Ovis aries: one gene and its partner. The main gene of each other region encodes a partner of the protein of the gene in region 2 in a complex. Links are inferred from orthologs where the notes say so. Each region holds a gene or a part of one and is shown on either strand. Other genes may lie near its edges.

Region 1 (4,374 bases), on a different chromosome or scaffold from region 2:
GACCCCTCCTTCAGTGGCGGCTGGTTTGTTTTATCCTGTAAAACCCCGGACTACCAGAACTTCTGCTGTTTGGACTTATACTGGTGAGGAGGAAGAAACACACGCACTCGCCTGTGGGATGGCAGTTGCTACGACAGGGAGCCCGGCCTGAACAGCCAGCTGGCTGCAGGGCTTCAAATAAAGGTTCCTAGACCTCATGTTCTTCTATCTACATTTTGCAGTTTCCAAGGAAACAGGACCTGGGGCCACTGTGGTGAGACCCAGTGCTGACCCCTTCACACACAGCCCTACTCCACGTGGAGCCCATGAGAACACAGCCTCACCCACATGCTATCTACACTCCGCCCCATCCCAAATCCTAGAGCAACACTTGTCTCTTCCTCTGGTGGCAGGATGCCCACGGTTCCTCTGCTACAGTGAGTGGTCCCCCTCACTGCAACCAGCCAGTAACCTGACCTCGTCAGAACACAGGTCCTTCCTGAGGGCTACAGGCCGATCATACTAAGACAAACACTTAGAATCTGAAGTGAATGTGAAACAAGTAAGAAGAAATGCCAAGTAGGAGTCAGAAACAGGACCCGGACCCTGGAGAAGAGGTGAGGCTAGAGGAAAGCCTAGGAGCCACTGGCATCAAGACGGCAACTGAAGCTACCAGTGTGCAGACTGCCCTTGGAGAGGCCATGCGGTGAGGGCAGGAGAGCCTGAGCGCCTCCCCTAGCTGGACAGCTGCTGCAGAGGACGACGAACCCGCAGAGCAGACTGAGAAGACCGATGGGAAAGGGGGTGATGACACGGCTGGGGAGGCCAAGGGCTGTGAGGCAAGACCTCCTAAAGTCTGCCTGTGATCACGTCACCACAAATGCAGTTACGGACCTCACTTTTGTAACCACTAGTTTGATTTTGACAGAGGATTAATCTCCAAATGCTAACCAGCTCATGAGAAGTTCCTGATGTGTTTTCCAGAATGCCAGTGTGTTAATCTGCAGTGAGAAATATACCTACCCAGCAGGCTAACATCCTCAGCTGCTCATCAGCACTCTCCTTCCCTAAAGACACAGGCACACAAGATGACTGACTGCTCTTCTGAGGCTGCTGAACGCAGGTGAGGTCGACAGTGACCTGGAGCTATGGTAACCAGTGATGGGGGCATACCTGGCAATGTCCCAGGGGGAAACAAAGAAGCCCTGCTGTGGACTTTATGGAAAGGACTACTTACAAAAGGGTGAGCAGGGGCCAGAGACCCAACAAGGATGGTAAGGCACCTGGGACTGGCAGCAGCCCTCCAGCTGAAAGGAGGAGAGGGGACAGTGTTCCTACAGCCTGGTAAGAGCTGGAAATGTGGAGGAGGCCCCTGGGCATGGGTCACAGCTGTGGAGGGAGCACGAGGAAACACCCCCAACTCCTCCTGCCCATGGCTTCCTTCTCTCAATGAGTCCTCACTGGCAACCAGCAAGGAGGAGGCACGTAATCTAGGAGCCCACCTCACAGAGCACACCACAGGCCAGGGAGGGTGCATCTGAGGACTCCTAAGGGAGAATAAACAGGCAGGATAATAAACAGGAGAGAGAGCATGTCTCTACAGACACACCTGAATCCATGTAAGGTTACTAAATGGCAAGATCCTTTTACAAAAAAGGATCCTTTGCATAAGAGGATCTTGTATAAGACTATATGTATTTATACAAGAAAGGACTTAATTTTTAGAACAGAGCTTTTAAATAATAAAAGTATAAAATCCTTCTGCCAAAGATAAAAGGTAAAGAGCTGGGAACAGATACTCAGAAAGTTGGCAACCCTTCCTCCAACAGGAACCTACACAAAGCCAAGTTACTCATTTGTGGGCCCCTCCCCTTCTTATGTCTTATCTGACTTTTCCAAAGGTAATTACAAAGACTGTAACAGTATCTTAAAGTTTATTTACAATCACTTCCCAGTTATTTACATAAGGAAAACCTGCTGAAACACACTGCTGTCACCATCAGTGACGGCTGAAGATGAAGTATGACTCACTTTTTTCTACAATCTTTAATTTCTGGAAGGTTTCCAATACTTCCCCATTTAGTATTCTGGGTAAGAAGTCCCGTATTTGCATCACTTCAGTTGTCAGTCGTTCCAGGTCCTTCTTTCTGACTTTAACAAATTCTTCTTTAGTTCCCATGTGCTAGAAAAACAAGCAGATCTCAAGATCACAGGTCTCCTCAGAGACCAGCAGCCCAACTCAGCTTGCTTCCTTTTCTTTAAGGCCTCGTGTGCTCAAAATAGTTTCAAAGCCCGTCTTTACCTAATGTACTGTTTTCTATGTATATTACATCCAGATAGCTCAAGCCCCAGCCTTCACACTGTAAACTAGTTTTTTTAAAGTGCAAACAAGGCCCTATAACGCCAAAGAAATCGCGGGCAACTTTTTCTTAATGCTCCGGCAGCAAGCTATCAGGCGAGAAAGGCATCGGAGTGAATGCGTACTGGGTGCGCCAGGCCCTTTGCGGGCCGCCCTGCTTCTTACCGACCACAACCCTGGGAAACGGGGAAACAGGGAAGCCAGGTGACTCTCGGGAATCCCAGGTCTGGGGACACAACCTGGATCTGAACTCGACAGCTGGGCACCCCTGAGGCTGACAAGTCCAACGCAGGCAGGGCCTCGCGGGCGGCCAGGCCCGGCCTGTCCCGGGGGGTCACAGGAGCACGCCCACCGCCCCCTGCGCGGCCCCCTGGACCCGCACACCCGAGAATTTGGGAGAATTTTCCAAGGCAGGGGTTGCAGCCTCCCTTCCCCTACCCAAGGCATGCTGTCTGCGGACGACGCCCAGGGCCCTCCCGAACACACTGGACGGCACCCAGGAGCGGTGTGGGGGAGTGGAGGGCGACAGCTAGAGCTCACAGGCCGAGACCTGGATGCCCACACTAACCCGACAGGCCTCCTCAGCGCCGCCAGCCTCGTTCATGACTGCCGCGGCCTTCGCTCCTGCGCCTGTGCGGCGGCGCGCCCTCTGACCCTCACGCCAGAAAGCGCGGGAACGCGTCCACACCGAGAGTCAGGTACGGAGAGCCGCGAGGCTCAGGCCACGCAGTTTTCGAAGCATTCTCGGCTGAAAGACCCAGAATGGGTCGGCGGGATCCCGCGTTGGCTCTTCTGGCTTAACCAGACTCGTAAACTTTGTTAACTGCAAAGTACAAGGACAGTGAGACCCTCGCTTAAGTGTCCGGTGAAATAAATCGAATAAGGCCCTTCCTGCTCGGCAAGGGATGTCAGACCAAGGGGTGACAGGTTCAAAGGAACCAGCAGCCGGCCGCCTGGCTCCCGCACTCAGCTCCCAGCTCCATGAGCAAAGGCCAAAGCTTTCTGACAACAGACTGCTCGGGAGGTCTGCCCTCGATAGGGAGACTTAGTCCAGTCCGCTGGTACGTAACTGAAACGGCTACCGTAAGCTAGGACACATCGCCCCGTCCATTCAGCTGCCCCTACACATCCACTGAGTTCGCACAGTGCCCATGCGTTCAAAGGTACCAGTTACTATACCACTAGGACTTTGCCTGTCTGAAGCCGGCCGCGAGCTGACAAGGCCAAGTGCCCAGCGTGCGTGCCCTCCAGGCCCGCGGGAGGACCTCAAGCTCACGCTCTCAATCCTCGCGGCCGGGACCCGGGCACTGGGGGTCGCCGGTCGCTGAGACCAGAGCGGCCCTCGAGGGGGCTGCCCACAACATCCCACCAAAATTCCCAAGGGCAGCCTCTCTCCCCAGCCTCCACCCAGCCCTGGCGGCCGAGGAGTCCAAAGCGATTCAAGACTCGGTGCCGCGTCTCCCGGGGAACAGCTCCAATCGGACCAGGATTTAGTGGAGTGGGCGCAAAGATTCTAGACCACGTAAAACTGGCTATCGGACTCTTCCCGGCCAACACGCAACGCCGGCTAACCTCGCCGTCAACGGCCACGAGCTTTGGCTACCGAGAGACGGCAGAGGCGGAGAGGCGCGCCGCTAACCAGGGACGAGCCGCTCAGCCGGCTGCCTTGGCAGCCGCGCTAGCTCCCAGAACGCGCTGCGAGAGGCGGCCGGCGCCTTTGTGACGCCATCAGCCTGAGCGCCGCTGCACGCGCCACAGCCTTCTGCGCAGTCGCGACCCGGGCGGCGAGGCGGCGGGCGCTCTGTGGCGGCGGGCTGTGGCGGGGGATGCTCCAACGGACACGATGGCCCCCGCCATGCAGCCGGCCGAGATACAGTTCGCTCAGCGGCTGGCGTCCCACGAGAAGGGCATCCGGGACCGGGCGGTGAAGAAGCTGCGCCAGTACATCAGCGTGAAGACGCAGAAGGAGACAGGTGGGCGCCGGCGGTCCGCCGCGCACATGGCGGCCGGGCGTGGGAGCCCGGGGTGGGCCGGGC
Region 2 (3,803 bases):
GCTTCCCTGGTGGCTCAGTGGTAAAGAATCCGCCTGTCAGTGCAAGAGACGGGGGTTCGAGCCCTGGTCTGGGAAGATCCCACATGCCGTGGAGCAAGTAAGCCCCTGCACCAGAACTATTGAACCTGCACTCTAGAGCCTTGGAGCCAAAACTACTGAAGCCTGTGTGCCCTAGAGCTTGTGCTTCGCAAAAAGGGAAGCCACTGCAGTGAGAAGCTTTCATATCACAGCTAGAGAAGAGCTTGAACTGGGACAAAGACCCAGCACAGCCAAAAATAAATAAATAGAATTATTAACAAAAAAAAAGATGTTTGTGCAGAGATGAGTAACAAGCTGCTTGGAGGCACAGGAATTTCTGTGACCTTGGAGGCGGAAGCTGGGGCCAGCCAGGCCCACCCACAGCAGGTCATTCGGGGCCTGTCTTGGCAGTGGACTCCTCAGCTCAGTGGACCCTGGGCTGGCCCAGGAAAGTTCTTTCTGTGTGTCCTGGATGGGTGGGGAAAAAGAAAAACAATTCTGGCAGGTGGTGAAAGAACCCTTTCCCTCCTGATGTCTTTGGCCTTTAGTGTTGAACACAAGGTTCTGCTTTCGTTTTTCTTAAATTAATCCTGTGGGGATGGATCACAGGAAGAAAATGGGAGCCTCTTCACGCCTGTTGGTATTTTTGCTTTTTATTTGGTACTAATAAGTGTCCATTGGATGAGCAAAGCAAGCTAGTGTTTGGGTTTCTCAAGAAACTAAACAAATGAAGCCGCTATATTTTTGCATTTCCTGGTAGACCACAAAGTAGAAATGTGTTTGTATAAGAAACATTCATTGGAGCTTTGCTCTGGGTGCAGTGCCAGGGTGGGTCCATAAAGTGGGCAGGGGGCGGGAAGCACGGTGAAGATGAGATCAAGATGAGATTTAGGTCTTGCAGTTGATTCCTTCAAAGTCAAATCAGGGGGAAAGGAAAAATGCTTCTCACCAAGGGAGCTAATCAAATGCACAGCAATGGGGTAAGGTTCTAAATGGGCCCATGTGAGCTGTAACTGACAGAATTAGGAGAAATTACAGGAAAGTCAGTGTGGTCTAGTGGAACCCCAAAAGCCAAATGGACGCTGAGGAGGACTCTAGCATTCAGTGTTGGAGGAAGGGAGCTCATTCAATGGATTTGTTGTTGTTTTAGTTGTGTCTGACTCTTTGCAACCTCATGGACTGTAGCCCTCCAGGCTCTTCTGTCCATGAGATTTCCCAGGCAAGAAATACTTGAGTGGGTTGCCATTTCCTTCTCTAGGGGGTCTTCCTGACCCAGGGATCAAACCAGTGTCTCCTGCATTGGCAGGCGGATGCTTTACCACTGAGCTACCTGGGAAACTCTCAGTGGGTTTACTTCAAGAGGGGGCAACAGAGGACAAGAGGGTTGGATGGCATGACTGACTCAATGGACATGGGTTTGCGCAAGCTCCTGGAGATGGTGAAGGACAAGGAAACCTGGCATGCTCCAGTCCATGGGGTCACAAAGAGTCGGACACAACTGAACAACAATATAAGGAGCTGAGTGTGGAAAGGTCTTTCTGACAACCTCCAGAAAAATCAGACCTGGGTTTGGTTTATCTGTTTGTTCTCACTCCCTGGTCGGAGATGCAGTATATGTAGGTGTTCAGTAAGTGTTCAGGTACACTTAAGTGTGAAAGCTCTGGAGCTGGACTGCCTGAATCCCATTTCAGAGTCTGATCTCTCCAGGCCTCAGCTTGCTCATCCGTAACATGGCACAACATGAAGACTCTACCTCGAAGTTTTATCATAACATACCTGAGTCCTCAAGACAGTGTCTGGCATGGAACTGAACAAGAGTCAACCCTTATTATTTGTTCATTGAATGAATGGTTCATTTGGGGCCAGAGCATTCTGACAAGTCAGCCACTATTGGCAATTTCTATATAAGGGAGTTCCCTTCATTAAACAAATAGAAGGTAATAAGCACCTTTAGGGTCTGAATTGCTTTCAGTGATGGGAAAGGTATTTTTAGGAATGTAGCAGGGACCAAGAGGCAACTGAGCTGAGAAGTCACCTCCTTACTGCTCGATGACTCTGGGTCCCAGTTTTCCCAGGTTGAATATTCTACAAGTGTCATGGAAAACCAGAGTGGTACGTAAAATTTAATGTCGTCTGCATTTTCTGGGAAGTGATCTGGATTTCCTCATGCACTTATTCAGTCATCTTCCAAGTATTTATTGAGCGGTTCTCGACCCAGAAATGAAACCAAGGTCTCCTGTATTGCAGGCGGGTTCTTTACCAACTGATCTGTCAGGGAAGCCCCATTTATTGAGCACCAATGGTTTATTAGATGCTCATCTAGCCACTCGAGACCCAGCAGAGAGTGAAATAACTGAGGCCCCTCCTTGCATGGACACATTGTAGTGGAGGAGACGGTAAACGACCCTGTTCGTCGGACGCTTGCAGAAAAGATGTAAAGTGAATACAACAGAGCATGGGTCCGAGAGGAGTTGCTGTATAGAAAGGGCAAGAATGGCTCCTCTAGGGGCTCCTCTGGTGGTCCAGTAGCTAAGACTCTGTTTCCACAGGAGGCACAGGTTTGATCCCTGGTTGGGGAACTAAGATCCCACAAGCTCTCTCACCAAAAAAAAAAAAAAAAAAAAAAAAAAAGGGCCCCTCTGTAGGGACAATTTGAGCTGAGATCCAAGGGAACCAGCACACACCTCTCACCACTTCCCCAGAGAAACAGTCAGCTGGACAGGTTGTCTCGTGATTCTGAGCCAGGCCAGGTCACCTCAGGATCCAGCATCCATCATGACCAGACCACAAGTTAAAAGCCTTTGAATCCCATGGCCCCATAAGTTCGTGGGTCCCACCTGGATGACAGTCCATCCCGTCTCTCACTCTCCAAGCAAGCGTCAGAGCAGGAATTTCCTGCCCTTTGCACAAGCCTCCTCAGGTCGCATCAGCGACCCAGATGTGTTTGGCTGTGGGTCACGGCAGTGTGTGCTCCCACTGTCCCCCACCCCTTCAATTCTCTTTTTTCTTTTCATTTATTTTCGGCTGTGCTGGGGCTTCGATGCTGCGTGAGGGCTTTGTCCAGTTGCAGCGAGCAGCATCTGTTCTTCATTGCGGTGCACAGGCTTGTCATTGTGGTGGCTTCTCTTGTTGGGTTCCACTAGACCACACTGACTTTCCTGTAATTTATCCTAATTCTGTCAGTAGTGGCCACGAGACATGTAGGATCTCCCCAAAGCAGGAATTGAACCCCTGTCCCCTTCATTAGCAGGCGGATTCTTAACCACTGGACCACCATGAAGGGAAGCCTCCTTAATCTTTTGTCTCCAAACCAGGAAGGGAAGGACTCCATCTTCGGAAACTTCCAAAGAACCCAAGGATAGAAGACTCTGACGGGGCCACCAGCCAGAGCTCCCTGTTAGACTGTTTGCATCACCCTGAAGAATCAGAAGGTGGATCGGGACTCACTCCTTCTGCAGAGCAGAGTGGGGAGGAACCAGGACAGGCAGCCTCCAGGTAGGTGGCTCAGAACATCCAGCAAGCCTCTCCTCTGACAGTGGGCACAGCACAGTGACCTAGTGGACAGGATGCAAAGGACAGGGGACCAGCCAACATGACCCTGCCAGTGCTGTGCCTCCCCAACAGGGGTCAAGGCCCTTGGATTGAGGTTCGTGAAATTTTGCTCTAGAGACTTGTCTCTAGTGAGAAAAGTCAATATATATAATTTTAATTAAACTGTATTTATTTCTTGTTTACTTACTTATTTTTGGCTGAATTGAGTCTTTGTTGCTGCGTATGGGCTTTCT

What was found.
Region 1: the proteins of BRME1 (region 2) and HSF2BP are in contact, whole or in part, in a crystal structure (PDB 7Z8Z), measured with the Mus musculus proteins. The link is inferred for Ovis aries from reciprocal best matches to the Homo sapiens genes BRME1 and HSF2BP. Residues at the interface, in NP_083321.2 of Mus musculus: Met541, Gln542, Asp543, Ala544, Thr545, Val548, Arg549, Leu551, Val552, Leu555, Ser556, Asn559, Ile562, Met563, Thr565, His566, Leu569, Lys573; in NP_083178.1 of Mus musculus: Glu23, Phe24, Val25, Lys26, Val27, Arg28, Asp31, Leu32, Arg34, Leu35, Glu38, Val39, Gln41, Ile42, Phe45, Leu46, Arg48, Ile49, Glu53, Leu54.

What each region holds. Positions count from the first base shown.
Region 1 is NC_056054.1:264,402,591-264,406,964, forward strand, and holds the start of HSF2BP (heat shock factor 2-binding protein), read right to left. Parts: upstream 2,975-4,374; 5' UTR 2,943-2,974; coding exon 2,907-2,942; intron 2,162-2,906; coding exon 2,011-2,161; intron 1-2,010. Other genes in the region: RRP1B (ribosomal RNA processing protein 1 homolog B), read left to right, coding at 4,182-4,311. UniProt on the Homo sapiens protein: Meiotic recombination factor component of recombination bridges involved in meiotic double-strand break repair.
Region 2 is NC_056058.1:10,109,277-10,113,079, forward strand, and holds part of BRME1 (break repair meiotic recombinase recruitment factor 1), read left to right. Parts: intron 1-3,332; coding exon 3,333-3,513; intron 3,514-3,803. UniProt on the Homo sapiens protein: Meiotic recombination factor component of recombination bridges involved in meiotic double-strand break repair.